4 linked regions of the Saccharomyces cerevisiae S288C genome follow. The gene in region 3 interacts genetically with the main gene of each other region. Each region holds a gene or a part of one and is shown on either strand. Other genes may lie near its edges.

Region 1 (3,806 bases), on a different chromosome or scaffold from region 3:
GGACATTATTATCGTTAGCAAAATGTTGAAATGTGTTATCCTCCTTCTGGTGAGCTTTTAACCATGGGTTTCTTATGCAAGTTAAATTAATTAGGATGATGCCTAGAGACCATATATCTCCTGTATCCGTAGGGAGGCTCGAACAGCATTCGTCGACGTGTATGCCGTTGGTGGTGGTATTCAAACAATACAATATTCTTTCTGGAGCCATATAATATGAACTGCCAACGCACACATTTGGAGCTAGATATTTAGATTTAGTGGAAAGCCCGAAATCGCAAAGATAAGCGTTGTCATTGCGATCCAGTAGGACATTTTCAGGTTTGATATCACAATGATATATACCGAGACGATGACAGTGATCTAATGCGGAGCAAAGCTGCAGAAAAACTTTCTTAATCAAAATACCATGATTTACAAAATGCTTATCGTCAACTATCGAGGTGAAAAGGTCCCTGTCGTAATAATCCATCACTATAAAAGTGGCAATAGAAGATTCTAAAACTTGGTGAATCTTCACGATATTGCCGTGAGACTGCACTCTTAGTTGGAAGGCAATCTCCCTGTAGTGTGGTAGCCTATTTAGTTCATTCTCAGTCAACTGTAATATCGAGTCTAGATCAACGGAAGGTAAGAACAATTTTTTTTGGAAACTTTTGAAAAAATGATACAGTTGCGTTTGCAGAAGAGTGGTTCGCGCCACTTGAGAGTTGTTGTTCAAACCGTTCTTATTATAAAACTCATCCATCGAGGAGGATTTGAAGACCGTTTTCACTGCATATTCACGGCTCGTCAGTATATCCACCACATGGAACACTAGTCCATACGCACCCGACCCTATTTGAGCCGTTATTCTGAAATTGTTCAGCAAGCAGTCTGACAGCATTTGTACACAAAATTTCTTGTCTGTGTTCTTATTTGATGTTTTCTTTTAAAGAGTTTTGTTTCCGCTAGGGCGATTTAAGTCAATAAGTAAATTTAACAATTTACTAAATATATTTTGTATAATATATAAGAATATACGCCTTAAGAATGTCCTCTCATGCGAAAAAGGTAGCAAGAGCATAAAAAGGAAAAAGAAAACGCTATAGTCATTTGTAGGCTCTTGTCTTTCTTCGTCTTCGTCCCGTGAGTGCGGACTCAGAAAACACCGCAATGATGTGGGTCCGGAATATCTATTGCACAGTTTTAGTAGGGTCACCGATATCGTTAAGGTTTGTGGTAGGAACAGAAGGTACTGCCGGCCCTGTATACTGCCCTTTTGTTCCGACCATTTCTTTTTTGCATTTGTCCCAAGATTCTCTCTCCCCACAAAATCTGCTCAAGTATCTGTCCAACGCGCTTTCTTCGGCTGATAGATAAGTTCCGATTTCGTGGGAAGCAAAAAAAAAAAAAAAAAGAAAAAAAGAGTCTGTCCGAGAAATGTCCCGGAAAACGTGGGTGTGCGGTGAGGAGATTGTACTTCCATCCCACATTCCTCGTGTTTGATTGGCTGCAAGCCACTTGATGCCTAGAAAAGAAACACCGCGTGGTGCATCTATGTCCATATCACGCGCGCTAAAACAGCATGTAGAGAGCGCGAGGGCGGCGTACTGCACCATTCTAATAGGAAATCCGGGATGAATGCCCTCTCCGGAAATACCTCCACTAAGCCTCAATGGAAAGTTGTTCCGCTCACGCGAACAGGTTTTTCCGGGGAGTCGAGAACTACAGTGACGTAAATACGACGACATCGCTAGAGCCAGCAGAAGCCTCCATACATTCAGACTAATTAGTTGACGGGCTTGAGCCAACTAGACATATTATGTAGGCACATATGCTCCAACCAATACATATGTGTACATAGAGTACAGCTCTTCCCAGCGCATCCGCTATCGTCCTCTTGACAGGTCCGGCTATTTATTATCCGCGGCATCCGCGGCCCAGCGCACAATAATAGATTACTTTGCAATGCAAGCGGTCTTGGCTGTTTGCTCTGAGGGTCCATCTTCGTTTATTTCTTTATTTACTAAATTAATTATGATACTGCACTCAGGACGGGCCAAGAAAGCATGTAGCGTGAAGAGAAACTAATTATTAAGAAAAAAGAAAAAAAAAAAAAAAAAAAAAAAGAAAAGGAAAAAGGAAAAAGATAAACCAATCATACAATCTTTACAGAAAGGGAGTACTGAGAAGAAGGCCAAAATACTGCAGAGCATACATACTACCGAGTGGATGGAATGTCTTTTTCATCTATCTTATCACAGGATATCACAGATGACATTACACCACCAGCGTATTCCGCCACCTTGGGGTCGAGAGAACAGATTGTTTTCAGAGCTTACCAAAATGAACCTTGGTTGGCTGGTACTGCTTCGAATCTTATCTTAGATAAAAAACTTGTTATTGTAGACAGAGAACTGTTGTTCCAGGTGTTGATGGTAGAGAATATCACCAAATCCAAGCTAACACAGATCGATGATATAAAAACCAAGCTGGATCCGAAAAAACAGAAAGTGGATAGACTACGATCAGGCGCGCAAGGAAATGGCGCTAAGAAGTACGAGGTCATCACTCAAGTGGACATGGAAGATGACGGGAATGTGGCGGATAACAACTGCGCCAAGGAAAATAATAGCAACAATAATAGCAGTGCCGCCAAGAATAAAGCAGTGTTTAAATTGACACTACAAAGTAAGTCGGGCGACGTTTTTTTTGCTATCAACTCGACTCCAATATCTTGGAGCTCTTGCATGCTGGGTTCTAAAATTGTGATACTGCCGGGAACTGTGTTCAATAGGGGCGTTTTCATATTGAAGGACTCACAAGTCATTTTTCTCGGCGGCATTAATAGAGTTTGGAATGAAAATAGAGATCAGAAATTTTGTGATTATTTGGAATCTAAATTACAACGTGACAAACAACTTGTAAATGGCGGCTCCAAGAAAAGGAAAGCCAATGATTAGCATATGCCTCTTCTTCTTAGAAGGGCGTTCTGCCCGTTATGTATACGTTAAATATTACATTATTTTCGCATTTTTGTATTTATATTCAGTGAAATATTAGGCTTGGTCGAGTAACATTTCCCATAGCTCGTCGGTTTCTTTGAAGTCGTGATGAACAATTGAGACAAGACAGTAGTCTTTATGCACTAGTCTTAGAAGAATATTGGCTGGGGTGTTCCTTGGAAATAACTTGGCCCACTCGGACCAGATACTAAACGCTTCATCTCTCCATGCCTTGAATGACTCTTCTTCAATGATTGTAGTCTGTTTGACCGGACTGTTGGGAAAAACACCCCATGTTACAACGCTAGAGCTGTGCGGGTCTAGGTTCGTTTCAAATGAACCAGATGAATCGCCCGCGTAATAACTGAATTTCCGACGCCCGTAATGGTCTAGCTTGGGTTTCAAAGTTGTTTCCCATTGCTGTCTATGAATAAACATTTCTACGAATGCCTTCTGATACAACCTCCCTTTCGCGGGCCCCCAGCCGAATATTTTATCACTACTCAATGTAGCATTTGTGGCAGGTTGCGATGCCAAAGTCAAATATCCGCGATAGTTTAGTTGGATTAGTTCTTCTTGTATTAACGCCGTTTCAGCTGATAAACCCAGGTCAGACCAGGGAATCGCATCCGTTGAACCTTCCAAATATTTTATAAAAATATCTTTTAAATCGCCAATTGTCTTTGGTATACCCCATAGTTCAAGCGCTTTGCTTTTGCTTACCTTGATGGATGGCCCATAACCGTCTATTTCACCATATGCGGGAGACCTGGAGTCACCAAATCTACCATTGGGGAACTCATCCCAAGTGGCATCACG
Region 2 (5,291 bases), on a different chromosome or scaffold from region 3:
TGATGATGATGCTCCACAAGAAGAAGGGCTTCACTCTGGGAAAAGTGAGGTAGAATCACAGATCACTCAGAGGGAGGAGGCTATAAGGCTGGAACAATCACAATTGCGGTCCAAGAGAAGGAAGCAAAATGAATTATACGCCAAGCAAAAGAAATCAGTGAATGAGACAGAGGTCACTGATGAAGTAATTGCGGAGCTTCCTGAGGAATTGCTAAAAAATATAGATCAGAAGGACGAAGGTAGTACGCAGTACTCATCTTCAAGACATGTAACTTTCGATAAATTGGATGAGTCAGATGAAAATGAAGAGGCATTGGCTAAAGCTATAAAAACTAAGAAAAGGAAGACATTAAAAAATTTAAGGAAAGATTCGGTGAAAAGAGGAAAATTTAGAGTTCAATTGTTATCCACCACACAAGATTCTAAAACATTACCACCAAAGAAAGAATCATCCATCATACGTTCAAAAGACCGTTGGCTAAATAGAAAGGCTTTGAATAAAGGGTAATATATAGCATACAACATAATAAAATAATAGTACAATCACAAAATTAATCATAATGTTCATTTATCTATAATCAAACAATGAGAATATATACTGAAGTTTGGTAGGTTATTCTTCAGAGATGCAGTACGATATCACCAACGGTATGCAGACACCTATCAAAACATAAACGGATTCATCATGAGGTAAAACGACTTCCTGTTCAACGCTGAGATCGTGATCATGAGAATCTCCACCAACAAATGCTGTGAAAGACGCATATAGTAAACTGCCACCACTCATAAGCAGAAGATTTCCACTTATCCAATCCATCGTTGGCGAATGACTCAGATTCAAAAGGGATAACACTATGTATCCGATCGGAGTCGATGACGCAAACAAGAAAACGTTACAGATCACCTCCCATTTCATTAAGTTTTGTCTCGATACCATCAAACTAGTGAGGGAAAGAACGGCAGGAATTTTATGAATAACTATAGCAATTAACACCACTATGAGCAGTGAATCATTGTTCGTTGTCGTACCTAATGCAATTCCATCAGATAGTCCATGAATGAATAAGGCAAAGACAACATTGTTTTGTATTAAGTTCATCCATATTTGTCTTGGATGGTTTATTATATCTTTCCAGCTTTGAAATTTGACAGCATCATGCGTATAGACCGTTTGCTTTCTAGAAACCCATAGTGTAACCAACCTATCAAGAACATAAACACCTAGAAACCCAATTAATAAATTCACACCAACGTTTCCATCATGTTCGACACACGCTTTGATACCTTCCGGTATTACCAACATAAATGATGTACCTAACAACATTCCTATACCGAATTGTGATAGAACGGCAATCTTCACACGGTAACTACTAACATCGTCATTGATCGTTTGAGTATCTGCGTTCGTAGTAAAATCAGAAATTGAGTCAGCACCTTCTTGGTTTGTGACAATGGAACTTTTTTGTTTATCAATATAATACAATGGGATAAGCCCTATGAGGAAGGTAGCAATCAAAAGAAAACTTGCTAGCAGTATTACACCCAAAAACTTCATTATTATCGGTCTTGGTAACACTAGCTTTAAACCGCGCTTATTTGAGAAGTTTTTATGCAGCTAAACTGTTTCTCGTCATTTTTTTATAGTTATTTCTCGAAAAATATTATAAATAGACATGCAAAATGATTAGCCATGTCGTATAAATTTATTACCAAGAACAAAAAATACACCCCGATGTCTTCCCCAGGGAATTCAGGCGTGGCTATAGATTCTACCGTTCTGAAAGCAATTGAATTAGGAACGAGGCTTTTTAAATCTGGAGAATATTTGCAAGCGAAAAGGATATTCACAAATGCTTTGAGAGTATGTGATTCTTATTCTCAGGAGCAGATTATGCGCATTAGGAACGCGTATCAATTAGATACTGCGAGACCGGATAACAAACGATTATATCATCCTAGATACATAAAGATATTGGATAACATCTGTGCGTGCTACGAAAAATTGAATGATTTGAAATCTTGTTTGGACGTATCACAAAGGTTACTTAAGTTAGAACCAGGTAATATCAAATGCTATATACGATGTACAAGGACGTTGATAAAATTAAAAGACTGGAAAAGGGCATATAAAACATGTTCTCGTGGACTGCAATTATGCAATAACGATAGCAATCATCTAAGACAACAAAAACAATTCATTAAAAATAACATGGTTCAAAAACAGGACGGCAAGAGAAGTTATATAGATCCATTAGAGGAGACCAAAATAGCAAAAAAAAAAAAGAATAATAATGTTCTAGAATCGTTACCAAAGAAGAAGATTAAAGGTAGTACCAAGAAAACTGATTTAGTTGGCAATTTGCCGATAGAAATACTACCTATCATATTCCAAAGGTTTACCACTAAGGAGCTTGTTACGTTGTCGCTAGTTTGTAACAAATGGAGGGACAAAATTTTGTATCATTTAGACTGCTTCCAAGAATTCAACTTGGCACCAATAAATTTTAAAAATTTTGTAAAGTTTATGGATTTTTTACAACAGAATTTCACCAGGACGTATAGAAAATATATTCTTTCACAAGTAAAAGTCAGTTCTAGAATCACTTCGGAAGAGTTACGAATAACTCAATTATTATTCAGTAAAATGCCGAAATGTATAAACATCGAACGGCTTATACTGTCAATGCCAACACTAACTACAACACAAATCTTTAAGTTAATGGTTAGAGGAGGCACAGATTTTTTTACAAGGCTGCTGGAATTATCTCTCATGATAACTTATAGGCCTGATAAACAACATGAATTGGAGATACTGCAGACTTGTCCTCTGTTGAAAAAAATAGAATTAATTTTTGTCAATTCACTGGTACCAATTTTCGACGGAAATAATAGCGTTGGGAGGGATGGAAGTTTCAATGTGATGGCCCGTCATACTAATATGCAGATATCCACTGCGGATAATGATGAACAGGGAATAGTAGAAGAAAAGGTGATTTATAGTGAGCTAGAGAAGATAACATTGATATGTGATAAGAAGAAAATTAAGAATTTTCCACTTTGTCGTGCTCTATTAAGAGGCCAGTTTCCTCTATTGCAGAAACTGACGATAACTGGTGTAACATTTCCTATGAATAATCAAGACATAATGAATTTTCAATGGCTATTGAACTTCCCAGACCTAAAAGAACTATGGATAGAAGATAACGACAACTGTGAACTCAGTAAGTTTTTGCAATTGTTAAAATTTTCGAATGTCTGGAAAAACTTGGAAAAGTTAACCTTTAGAGAGAACAAGCTATATCCAATTGTTAATTTGGATGAAGATCAGCCTGTTACGAATGACGACGAGGTGCCATCCATGCTATTTTACAAGGAAAATCTCCAAAACCTGGAAAAGTTGGATCTAATGGGGACATCGATAAGTGGTTCTGCGTTGACTAGATTATGCGAGCAGGAATACTTGGATGGTCGGAAATTAAGAAGTTTAAACATTGGGAATTGCCCCAACATCCAGTTCCCAAATAATCACGCTCATACAGCAAGGATGATACTGGATGTGAATGCAGTTTTGAAGAGACTCTCCAAGTTGGAAGAAATAAATTTATCGCATCTCAGCTCCTTGAATGATAGTACGATGAAGTCATTCATTATTAATGTACCATTTTTGGAAAATTTAAAGAGGCTTGACATTTCGCACAATTTTGAAATTACAGGAATATCAATATATGAATTTCTAAAAAAATTTCAGATGGATCATGACAACGAAGCGGGAGGTCAACCACTGGCATATTTAAATATTGACGGATGTTCCCAAGTGTCTCATATCACAGTTAATATGATCCGAGCGCAGAACTTAGTTACTCAAGTGGATTGTGTTTATGAAAGAGATGTATGGAGAAAATTTGGAATTAATTCATATTCATACTCATAGATTAATAAATCACTGATGATAATGCAGTATCCTTCGGAAAATTCTTAGAATATTTAATATAACAAAATGGCATGTACCTTTTGGAGTTGATGGAGGTGAGAATATAGAAAGCTTTTTATATAAAAATGTACTTATTGTCTTTCATTTCAATTTTGAAAAATGTCTGAATTGTTCATGAAATTGTCGTTTGTGGCAGCCGACATAGCGTCCATGGGGAACCTGCTTGGATTGAATAAAGTGTTATCAAATGAACCGTTTTCAATAGCCGGTATGGGAAAATCTTCTGAGTTTGTTTGAACATCATAAGAGGAAATTGTTCCAGATTTTTTTCTATTTTTCCTCATCTCTGCCGACATATTTTGATTATAATAAGAAGATCTTTTTTTGAATTGAGGTCGTGATGGAACCTTCAATGGTGATTTCTTTAGCCGTAAACTAGATGCACCGATGGCAAACGATAAAGAATTTGCCTTCTGCCTTGTACCCTGCTGCGTGAATGAAGATTTTGAACGTTGTGGAGATGTAGAAGGCGATGGAGAAGGCGATAACATATCCATTTTCCTCTTGTTGAAGGTAGAAGATGGAGAAGGCAATGGCTGAAGAGGAAATCTTCCCGGTGCCGCTGTTTTGTTGGGAGACTTGATAATTGATAGTGAATTGGAGGAGGATTCTTCCAAGTCAACTCCCGGCAAGTCAGCATCCATTATGGAAAGAGATTTGATTTGCTCACTGAATCGAGGTTGGTAGAATTGTAAAGGGTTTTTTATTGACGAAGAGATTATTATTTTCTCCTTTAGGAATGTGATGGCCTTATCCAAGGCGAATTCTTGGCCACAGTTATTTTGAATCATGGAAATTTTCGGCCAAGTAGCTCTTGCACCTAAAGTAGTTTGGTGCAATAGGAAAAGTTGAGATGGGTTCTTCAATACTTCGTGGAATTGACCAACCATTGATAGATCGGGTAAAATTGTGACATTGCCAGAGTATTGTTGTAAAAAAAGGTGTTTCAATTTGGTCATCAAATAGGGATGGAACTCAAGCTCCTTTAGGATGTCTAAAAAATGAATAGTTTCGTCGGAAAAAAATTTGAAGATCTTTGTTACTTGGTTTCTGAAACGGGCGGTAATTTCCTTTTCAATTTCACCCCCAACGCAAGTGTTTGAAAACTTTAACAGGGGAAAGACATGTATATTTACCTGGCAGGCGATAATGTGGTCGACATTGAACATTTCAGAAAGACGAGAAATGGGCATGTCATTATCTACAGATCCGTCCATGAATTTCATGTTTGATAAATGTAAATTTGTTGCCCCCCACTCTTTAATCTTTCCAGTGTGAGGATCTTTCTCGAATAGCGGCG
Region 3 (4,251 bases):
TTCCAAACCCGCAAAGAAAGTTTTGTTAAAAAGACCAGCTCAGAAAAGCAGTGAAAACGTGCAAGTTGATTTGGCCAATTTTGAAAAAGCACCGCTTGATAATCCAACTGTTGCTGGATCTATTTTCAATGCCGTTGCAAATCAATATTCTGATGGTATAGGCAGTAATTTGAATATCCCAACTCCACCTCACCCAATGAATGTGGTTGGGGGTCCTATTCCTGGAGCGAATGATGTTGCAGATGTTGGTTTGCCGTACAATATTCCCCCAGGTTTTATGACGCATCCTAATGGTCTTCACCCATTACACCCTCACCAGATGCCTTACCCTAATATGAATGGAATGTCTATTCCGCCACCAGCACCACATGGGTTTGGACAACCGATTTCCTTCCCACCTCCACCTCCTATGACAAATGTTTCAGATCAAGGAAGTCGTATTGTTGTCAATGAAAAGGAAAGCCAAGATTTGAAAAAATTCATTAATGGTAAACAGCACAGCAATGGTTCAACTATTGGGGGAGAAACAAAGAACAGTAGGAAAGGCGAGATTAAACCTTCTTCTGGCACAAACTCTACTGAATGTCAATCGCCAAAGTCACAAAGCAATGCTGCTGACCGTGATAATAAAAAAGACGAATCTACTTAGAACATACGACTAAAAACGAAGTATATTCGAGGTTACTTTAATAGTATATCTGAGACCTATATAAAGAGGGGTATTTGTATTTAATCGTTGATCTTGTTAAGAAAAAGCTTATAACAAATGGGGATTGTCAAAGGGTATTTTTTACACAAAGCTTTCCGCATAGTTATATATTATCTCATTTTCAATAATCCTCCTGTAGGGTGTAGCTTTGCACTTTCTTCTCATTGATCTCATTTTGCTTAGCAAACCATTTTTCTTCAAAGCCATTTGATCTGTGGACACCGTCCCATCTTGACCCAGGCATAATGGCAAACCTGTTCTCAGGTGCTGGCTTATCATAAAGCTTGCGGCCCAGTAAAGATGTTTTTACAGTTCTTTCTTTGTCATGTGTAAATGTTATTGCAGGGTCTTCTATCGTCAGACTCGAGGCAGTTTGATTTTTCTTCTTATCATGTGCATCTACATTTATTCCAAGCTTTTGCACGTCTCCCATATTCAAATTTTTCAGGTATTGCTCTCTTTCCGCGGCTTTCTCATCTTCATATTTAGATCGACTAAAACTAGAATCGTCTATCTTGGAATCTTCCTGAATCTTGTGACCTTGAGCGTCTCTGTATATGGTTTTTCGTGTTTTCGATTTGTCTGCTACTGTGACAAGTGGCTCTTGAGCCCTGATTTCCTTTAGATCGTTCTTGCTTTCGTTGCCAGTAATTGACGATGCGGAAGGATGTGTTATTGCATGGGAAAGCTCGTTTGTTTCCAGGTTCTTCCATATATTCTTGCTTTTTTGTTTGTCAAACTTGCTGAATGAAGCAACTCCTGACTTCTCCTGTTCTTGTTGCAGTGTACTTAGCCGTTCTTTTACTATCAAAGAAGTTTTGTCTGAGTTAGCGTCTGATTTTGACTCTTTCTTCTTCTTTTTCGTCTTATTTTTGGGTTTCGTGGGCCCATAAGTCTCTGATAAATACTGATGCAATGCCATGTAATAAACGTCCTGTTGTTATCTTCCACCATTCGAGTCTTGAGAACAACTTTCAAAATCAAGTCAAATAGCCATTTTCTTTATGCCATTTTCTAAGCGCGTTCTACAAAAAAAAAGCTTTTAAGCTTTAATACCTTTTTTGTTTACGTTTGCAAACATTGTTATCGTTCACATACCTGCATTTCCATCCATGCTGTAAGCCATTAGGTGTTTGTATGTGAGATGGTGACTGGTGAAGAAAATGTGTATCTAAAGTCAAGCTTATCCATTCTCAAGGAGCTCAGTCTCGATGAACTACTAAATGTGCAGTATGACGTGACTACCTTAATCGCGAAACGTGTTCAAGCACTGCAAAATCGGAATAAATGTGTTCTCGAAGAACCTAACAGTAAACTGGCTGAAATTCTATGTCACGAAAAAAATGCTCCTCAACAATCCTCTCAGACGTCTGCGGGGCCAGGTGAGCAAGATTCTGAAGATTTCATCCTTACTCAGTTTGATGAGGACATAAAGAAAGAATCAGCAGAGGTTCACTATCGTAATGAAAATAAACACACTGTGCAGTTACCGCTGGTTACTATGCCACCTAATAGGCATAAACGGAAAATTTCGGAGTTTAGTTCGCCTTTAAATGGCCTCAACAACTTAAGCGATTTGGAAGATTGCTCTGATACTGTAATCCACGAAAAAGATAATGATAAAGAGAACAAAACAAGAAAACTATTGGGAATAGAGCTCGAGAACCCTGAATCTACATCGCCAAATTTATACAAAAATGTTAAGGATAATTTCCTGTTTGACTTCAATACGAACCCTTTAACAAAGCGAGCCTGGATTCTCGAAGACTTTAGACCAAATGAAGATATCGCCCCGGTTAAGAGAGGAAGAAGAAAATTGGAGCGATTTTATGCCCAAGTTGGAAAGCCAGAGGATTCTAAACACAGATCATTGTCAGTAGTTATAGAATCGCAAAATTCGGACTACGAATTTGCGTTTGATAACTTGAGGAATAGATCAAAATCCCCCCCAGGTTTTGGAAGACTGGATTTTCCCTCCACTCAGGAAGGGAACGAGGACAAAAAGAAATCCCAGGAAATCATCAGAAGAAAGACAAAATATAGGTTTTTAATGGCAAGCAATAACAAGATCCCACCGTACGAGAGAGAATATGTATTCAAAAGAGAACAATTAAATCAAATTGTTGACGATGGATGTTTCTTCTGGAGTGATAAATTATTGCAGATATATGCTAGATGTTAAACGCCAGCGATCATCATTCTTTATTCATTACTTCAAATACATTTTTTTTGGTATGGTTGAAAGGGCTTTTTTCCTCGTTGGCATATGGGAAAAACTGAAAAATAAAAAAAGGCAATGAGATGAACAACAATGGAAAACAAAAAAGGGCGAATAAATAAGCAGCAGTTGGTAAAGCAGAAAGGGGAAGTTAACGGACGTTAAACAAATGACACCTAACTTACCAGGGTTTTATTATGATAGAGAACGTCGACGTTATTTTCGCATATCTGAAAATCAAAGCATTTCTACCACGGGAACGACGAACCAGTACAGAAAAGATAATATAAAGCGACAATGTGTTGAGGAAAATTACGATAAAAAATTTTCTATGATTAAAAAAAAACGTCAGCAAACATTACAAAAGTACAAGCTTAGTCTTCTGAATCCGTTGGAAAGGGCTTTTCGCCCTTTATCATATGAAAAGTACATGATTGGTTTAAATATGCAGTATGCATCGCATTCTCTCACTGAAGGTCATCACTCACATAGTTCTGCTAACGTAAAATCACTCAATTTTCCACACAGGATACAGATAGGAGTATTAGCAAATTGTATTTTATTGGTAACTCAAGAAGGATGTTTTCATAGTAAATTAGTATTTGCAACAAACAAGGGCTATGTCGCAGGATTTTCATCCCTGGATAATTTTTCTGAAGAAAATTTCTTTACGGGGTTTTCCATGGCTGAATTAAATCCTATGTTGAAATATAAGTCCGAGCCAACTGATGTGTTCAAAACAATGAAACTTGAGAGAACAGTTGCCATCAAGGAAGGGCCGAGCCATTATTTTTATCACAACGTTAATACCAGATCTAACGTGCATACTTTTGCCATCTTTTTACAAGACTTTTCTTCCTTAAAACTGCTCAAAATTCGTCAGGTCAAACTCAAAGAAAATTGCCAAGTCCATGATTCTCTTGTTGTTGGAGACACGTTGATTATTACCGTAAATTATCGTTGTCATTTTTATGATTTGATTCCAGAAACCTTTCCAAATCCCTATATCTTTTCTCCTGCCAAAAGCTCAAGAAAACACAAAAGTAGGAGTGACATTACTTCCCTATCATTTTGTCTACAAGAAGATGCTTTATCACCTTTAAAAAAAACGAACACCGGTGTGTTTTATTTAGGTTACAGAAATGGTGATTCAATGGCAATAGTCTTCACTAATATTACAAACATGACATTACAGTACTCCAAGACCAACGGTATGACATCAGAAAGTCGAAATCAACCTATCAGAAATTCCCTAAAATCTGTTGTTTCCATAAAAGCATTGAATAATAAAGGCCTAATACTTATATCTGGAATGGCAGACAAA
Region 4 (6,421 bases), on a different chromosome or scaffold from region 3:
TTACTGCGGCTGTGGAGGCATTCATCATCACCCCGCTTCCACCGCCGTTGTTGTTGTTGTTGTTGTTGTTGTTATTGTTGTTATTGTTGTTATCCATGTTCATATTGAGCATGTTCGCGTTCCCATTAGCCAATTGGTCGAGCAACTGGCGCGAGTTGTTGTTGCTGGAAGTGTGTACATCGCTGTTGTTCATGAGTCCCGGTGGAGGTATCCCGGTGAGCTGGTTCATGTGTAGCTGCTGCTGTAGAGCGTTTGGTGTACCCTTTCCTAGTAGCCCGGCATGCTGCTGTTGCTGCTGTTGCTGTTGCTGCTGCGGGCCCACATTAGGGTAGCCTAGTAAAGAAGGGTCGTTCATTAGCGGTAGTTTGCAGGGATAACGTCAGTCGGAGTTCCCTTGCTGGTGTCCCTTATGCTGTGCCCTTGTGCTTGAGAACCTTCTCTAAGGTGGAAACTTTTTCAAATTTTTTCGTTGTTGGCCCGTTTTTCGCAAGTACGGGCGATAACAAAAGGCCTAAACGGCTACTTTACCTTTGAGATCTACCACGATGAGAATTAATGCTGAATGGACATCTATGTATATGATAGTGGGTATATAGTTACTTATCAGTGCTAGAGCACGATCCACGTGGTGGCACATCCGCCAAACACGCGAGGTTTTCCAGAGTATTGGCCCACGAGCTGCAGTCCAGGCTGGGAGCCCTTTTGCGGGCCGCAGTTGCCATGCTCTCCCCAGCCCCAGCAGTATACATTGTAACAGTGAGACTTGCCTTCTTGATTAGCAGTAGTTAGAATACCGTGCTCACTCCCGGTTGCAACACCGACAATAGGGAAGTCTAGGCGCTCTTGCGGGAAGAGTTGGGAATGTGTGCCCCTACCAAACGACTCTACCGTATTGAGGCGCGCATTCCACAGGTGGATCGAGGTCCACATGCACAGTACCACTAGATTGTGTCTTTTTTGCTGTTGTTTGAGCTCGAACCCAGTGGGCAGGCGACCGGATGCGTGCACTATGCGGCCGCCCTCGTCCACTATGACCATGAAGTCCTTGCCCATGGCCACGTAGTCTACGGCCACAGACCCGGTATCGTACACCAATACGGGCTCTTTCAGTGATCGGGATTTGGGCTCTTGCAATTGACACTTTGTGTTGCTGCCCCAGCCGTATACTCGGGTGCCTTGCACCACCACAAAGTTCTGGAAACATCCGTATACTGCGATGCGCTCATCGTTGGAATTCAATGGCACATGTTGCTGAGTGAACTCGTAGCAACCGCCTCCTCTCTGCCATACACGGCCATCAGCATCCACAATAACTGTCGTGTCCCAGCCGCACGCCACATCCACCACGGGTGCCGGTACTTCCACGGGCCTCCAGTCATGCACCTGCCGCAGTGCTTGCGCACTATCCAGTTCTCCCCGTCTGTTATCTCCACATCCTACCAGATTCCCGTCATTTGTCAGCATCACGCTGTGGTTCCCACCGCACGCTATCTTCCTGACTATTGCTCCATCATCTCCTGGCACAGACCTCTGTGGGGTATCCATATCCTCATCGTGCCCCAGTCCCAGTTGCCTTTGCCCATTAGACCCAAACGCATACACACAACTCATCGATACAAGCCTGTTATAGCCTTTAATGATCACATTCCATCACTTGCGCTTTGGATCTGCCTGCATTATCAAGGCTCAAACGGCTGCGTTACCCCCGTCGCCGCGAAATTTTTCATAATTTTTCACTTTGTAGGATTAAAAGAGATCATGAGCCCATCTCGCAATGCAACACGTAACTTAAATCAGTACTGGCGTGTGCTATAGTGCTCTATATTCGAGTTTGTTGCTACTGGTGGACACCCGACTATCTACAGTAAGGAACGTAAACAAGAAAAAGAGAGAAAATACGCTATAGTTGAAAACATGAGTGGTTCGCATTCAAATGATGAGGATGACGTAGTGCAAGTGCCCGAGACGTCCTCTCCCACCAAGGTAGCATCGTCGTCTCCCTTAAAGCCTACTTCGCCAACAGTTCCGGATGCAAGTGTGGCGTCTTTGAGAAGCAGGTTTACTTTCAAGCCTTCAGATCCCAGCGAAGGAGCTCATACTTCGAAGCCGCTCCCATCTGGGAGTCCTGAGGTAGCACTGGTTAACCTTGCGAGAGAGTTCCCCGATTTCTCTCAAACTCTGGTGCAGGCTGTTTTCAAATCTAACTCTTTTAACTTACAGTCTGCCAGGGAACGTCTTACAAGATTGAGGCAGCAAAGACAAAATTGGACATGGAACAAGAACGCATCTCCCAAGAAGTCAGAAACCCCGCCACCTGTCAAGAAGTCATTACCACTGGCAAACACAGGCCGTTTATCATCTATCCATGGCAATATCAACAACAAATCCTCCAAGATTACCGTGGCCAAACAGAAAACGTCCATTTTTGACCGTTACTCAAACGTCATCAACCAGAAACAATACACTTTTGAGCTGCCAACTAACTTGAATATAGACTCGGAGGCACTGAGCAAGTTGCCCGTGAACTACAACAAAAAGAGAAGGCTGGTAAGGGCAGATCAGCATCCAATTGGCAAGTCTTATGAGTCATCCGCTACACAATTAGGTTCTGCAAGAGAGAAACTACTGGCGAACCGCAAATACGGTCGTCATGCAAACGACAACGATGAAGAGGAGGAAGAGAGTATGATGACGGACGATGACGATGCAAGTGGCGACGACTACACAGAATCCACGCCGCAGATAAATCTGGATGAACAAGTTTTACAGTTTATTAATGACTCTGATATTGTCGATCTCTCGGACCTCTCAGATACCACGATGCATAAGGCTCAACTCATAGCCTCACATAGGCCATATTCTTCTTTAAATGCCTTTGTAAACACAAATTTCAATGATAAGGACACTGAGGAGAACGCATCGAACAAGAGAAAAAGACGTGCGGCTGCATCCGCCAATGAGAGTGAGAGGCTGCTCGATAAAATCACCCAAAGTATAAGAGGTTACAATGCAATTGAGTCTGTGATCAAGAAATGTTCTTCCTACGGTGATTTGGTCACTTCGCAAATGAAGAAATGGGGTGTGCAAGTGGAAGGCGATAACTCTGAGTTGGACCTGATGAACCTTGGGGAAGACGATGACGACGACAATGATGATGGCAATAACGATAATAATAATAGCAACAATAACAATACCGCTGGCGCAGACGCCACTAGCAAGGAAAAAGAAGATACAAAGGCCGTAGTGGAAGGTTTTGATGAAACTAGCGCAGAACCTACTCCAGCACCAGCACCAGCACCAGTGGAAAGAGAAACAAAACGAATTAGAAACACAACTAAGCCAAAAGTGGTCGAAGATGAAGATGACGATGTAGATTTGGAGGCAATCGATGACGAATTGCCGCAGTCTGAGCATGAAGATGATGACTATGAAGAGGAGGACGAAGACTATAACGATGAGGAAGAAGATGTGGAATATGATGATGGTGACGATGATGACGATGATGACGATGAATTTGTCGCTACCAGAAAAAACACACACGTGATCTCCACCACGAGCAGAAATGGCCGTAAACCTATTGTCAAGTTCTTCAAGGGCAAACCCAGACTGTTAAGCCCGGAAATTTCACTAAAAGACTACCAACAAACGGGTATAAACTGGTTGAATCTGCTATACCAAAACAAGATGTCATGTATCCTTGCAGACGACATGGGTCTAGGTAAAACATGTCAAGTCATTTCATTTTTCGCATATTTGAAACAAATAAACGAACCGGGTCCTCACTTGGTTGTTGTGCCATCATCGACGCTAGAAAATTGGTTAAGGGAGTTCCAGAAATTCGCACCTGCTTTGAAGATTGAACCCTACTATGGCTCTTTACAAGAAAGGGAAGAATTGCGTGATATCCTGGAAAGGAACGCTGGGAAATATGATGTTATCGTGACCACGTATAACTTGGCTGCAGGTAATAAATACGACGTTTCGTTTTTGAAAAATAGAAACTTCAATGTTGTGGTTTATGATGAAGGTCATATGTTGAAAAATTCCACTTCAGAGAGATTTGCCAAACTGATGAAAATTCGTGCCAATTTCCGCCTTTTATTAACTGGTACGCCATTACAAAATAACTTGAAGGAACTAATGTCGCTGTTGGAATTTATCATGCCAAATCTTTTCATTTCCAAAAAGGAATCATTTGACGCAATCTTCAAACAACGTGCCAAGACCACAGACGATAACAAAAATCACAACCCGCTATTAGCGCAAGAAGCCATTACAAGAGCTAAAACGATGATGAAGCCATTTATTTTGAGAAGACGTAAGGATCAAGTGTTGAAACATTTGCCACCAAAGCACACGCATATTCAGTATTGTGAATTGAACGCAATACAAAAAAAAATATATGATAAGGAAATACAAATCGTGTTAGAACATAAGAGAATGATTAAAGATGGCGAATTGCCAAAAGATGCAAAAGAAAAGTCTAAATTACAATCTTCAAGTTCCAAAAATTTAATAATGGCATTGCGAAAGGCCTCTCTGCATCCACTTTTGTTCAGAAATATCTATAATGATAAAATCATCACTAAAATGAGTGATGCCATATTGGATGAACCTGCTTATGCTGAAAACGGTAACAAAGAGTATATTAAGGAAGATATGAGCTATATGACGGATTTTGAGTTGCACAAACTATGCTGCAATTTCCCGAACACGTTATCCAAATACCAACTTCATAATGACGAGTGGATGCAATCTGGGAAGATAGACGCTTTGAAAAAATTGCTGAAAACAATCATTGTTGACAAACAGGAAAAGGTGCTGATATTTTCCTTATTCACTCAAGTCCTGGATATTCTAGAGATGGTTTTGTCCACCTTAGATTATAAATTTTTAAGATTAGATGGTTCCACGCAAGTGAATGATAGACAACTACTAATAGATAAGTTTTATGAAGATAAGGATATTCCCATTTTCATCTTATCAACAAAGGCAGGTGGATTCGGTATTAATTTGGTGTGCGCAAATAATGTTATTATATTCGATCAAAGTTTTAACCCACATGATGACAGACAAGCTGCTGATAGGGCACATCGTGTGGGACAAACAAAGGAAGTTAATATAACCACTTTAATTACTAAGGATTCCATAGAGGAAAAGATTCATCAACTGGCCAAAAATAAACTAGCTTTAGATTCGTATATCAGTGAAGATAAAAAATCTCAAGATGTGTTGGAAAGTAAAGTTAGTGATATGTTGGAGGATATAATTTATGATGAAAACTCGAAACCGAAGGGAACCAAAGAATAAATAAATAAAAATATAGTAAAAAAGTAAATAGATAAGCAGAAAATAAACCAAAAAAATAACATATTTATTTTCTTCTGCGTGAACGCACCATGTGGAAAAAGAGAGTTGATAGAACAAAGGACAAAGAAATTTAGAACGGTAAAAATATTTTCTAGAGTATAATATACATATATGTGTATATATACATAGGTTAGTATGTATAGCTAGGTAATTTTAATCTGGGGAGAGAAATGGTGAACTTTTTTCAATTTATTGATTCGGTTGTTGATTGATATCTTGTGGTGCTGCTTCAATTTCAGCTTGAGTTTCTACTAAATTTTCAGGGACCATTGGATGATCAAGGTTAAATAAAACGCTACCAATAGTATTTGTAGAAATGGCAAAGCCCGCTAAAATGGGCACGGACTCAATCAAACCGGCCAAGAAACCAAATGAGGCATATTGGCCAGCGTGGAGATAAATATTTTCACGTCTTTGTATGTTGTCGAAATTTTGTAAACGTAAAACTTTCGTGAAGTAAATTTGAGTGATGAAAGGAGAAATTAAAATATGAAAAAGGATTGGTCCAATAAGTGGGAAAAAAGATATAACCAACAGCACAAAAAGAACCGACAGGCCTAACATGTACTTGACCAACTTGAATGGGAAATAGTAAGCCCAGAAATATATCGAGTTAATAGGTGCATAGTACTTGATTGGTTTGACTTCACTCAAATTCTCCTCTAAACCATTCTTCTCTAAGCACACCTCCACTAAATGATTATTAAAATGACTGAGTCTCATAAACAATAAAGTGAAAACATTTGCTTGCAAAAAGGAATGAAAAATGGCAATGAAAAGCCCAATAGGGCCCAGCACAATCAAAAAAGCTGTGTACATTGGCGTAATTGTAGCCCAATACACAAAGCTTACCAGGGCAAACATTATCAAGTAACTCGATAATATACCTAACATAGTCGTTGAGTAACTGCTCTTATTGGTGTTGAACTCTAAAAACCCTTTGAACGGGTACATGAATGCACCTCCTGTGAATGCATCTTTGAAAAAGTTCATTAGCACGTATCTGGTACGGCTCATAACTTTGCTGAAGTGCTTCTTGTAAACTTTATCC

The links.
Region 1: mutations in SAE2 (region 3) and RMI1 together harm fitness more than expected from each alone (negative genetic interaction), as found in Saccharomyces cerevisiae (3 studies listed by BioGRID).
Region 2: mutations in SAE2 (region 3) and DIA2 together harm fitness more than expected from each alone (negative genetic interaction), as found in Saccharomyces cerevisiae (4 studies listed by BioGRID, with this or other methods).
Region 4: mutations in SAE2 (region 3) and FUN30 impair growth when combined (synthetic growth defect), as found in Saccharomyces cerevisiae (3 studies listed by BioGRID, with this or other methods).

What each region holds. Positions count from the first base shown.
Region 1 is NC_001148.4:501,298-505,103, forward strand, and holds RMI1 (Rmi1p), read left to right. Parts: upstream 1-2,219; coding exon 2,220-2,945; downstream 2,946-3,806. Other genes in the region: putative serine/threonine protein kinase SKS1, read right to left, coding at 1-886; methylenetetrahydrofolate reductase (NAD(P)H) MET12, read right to left, coding at 3,042-3,806. UniProt on the Saccharomyces cerevisiae protein: Structure-specific DNA-binding protein with a preference for cruciform structures. Also binds single-stranded DNA (ssDNA). Functions together with SGS1 and TOP3 to maintain genome integrity. Essential for proper meiotic cell division.
Region 2 is NC_001147.6:472,862-478,152, forward strand, and holds DIA2 (DNA-binding SCF ubiquitin ligase subunit DIA2), read left to right. Parts: upstream 1-1,732; coding exon 1,733-3,931; downstream 3,932-5,291. Other genes in the region: BUD21 (Bud21p), read left to right, coding at 1-508; Mn(2+) transporter ATX2, read right to left, coding at 614-1,555; TGL5 (triacylglycerol lipase), read right to left, coding at 4,078-5,291. UniProt on the Saccharomyces cerevisiae protein: F-box protein component of a SCF (SKP1-CUL1-F-box protein) E3 ubiquitin-protein ligase complex which mediates the ubiquitination and subsequent proteasomal degradation of target proteins. Probably recognizes and binds to phosphorylated target proteins.
Region 3 is NC_001139.9:171,925-176,175, reverse strand, and holds SAE2 (ssDNA endodeoxyribonuclease SAE2), read left to right. Parts: upstream 1-1,853; coding exon 1,854-2,891; downstream 2,892-4,251. Other genes in the region: chromatin-binding exonuclease XRN1, read left to right, coding at 1-649; BUD13 (Bud13p), read right to left, coding at 831-1,631; YGL176C (uncharacterized protein), read left to right, coding at 3,097-4,251. UniProt on the Saccharomyces cerevisiae protein: Endonuclease that cooperates with the MRX complex in processing meiotic and mitotic double-strand breaks by allowing the endonucleolytic removal of SPO11 from the break sites and ensuring both resection and intrachromosomal association of the broken ends.
Region 4 is NC_001133.9:113,005-119,425, forward strand, and holds FUN30 (DNA-dependent ATPase FUN30), read left to right. Parts: upstream 1-1,914; coding exon 1,915-5,310; downstream 5,311-6,421. Other genes in the region: CCR4-NOT core exoribonuclease subunit CCR4, read right to left, coding at 1-355; ATS1 (Ats1p), read right to left, coding at 610-1,611; LDS1 (Lds1p), read right to left, coding at 5,560-6,421. UniProt on the Saccharomyces cerevisiae protein: DNA helicase that possesses intrinsic ATP-dependent nucleosome-remodeling activity and is both required for DNA repair and heterochromatin organization.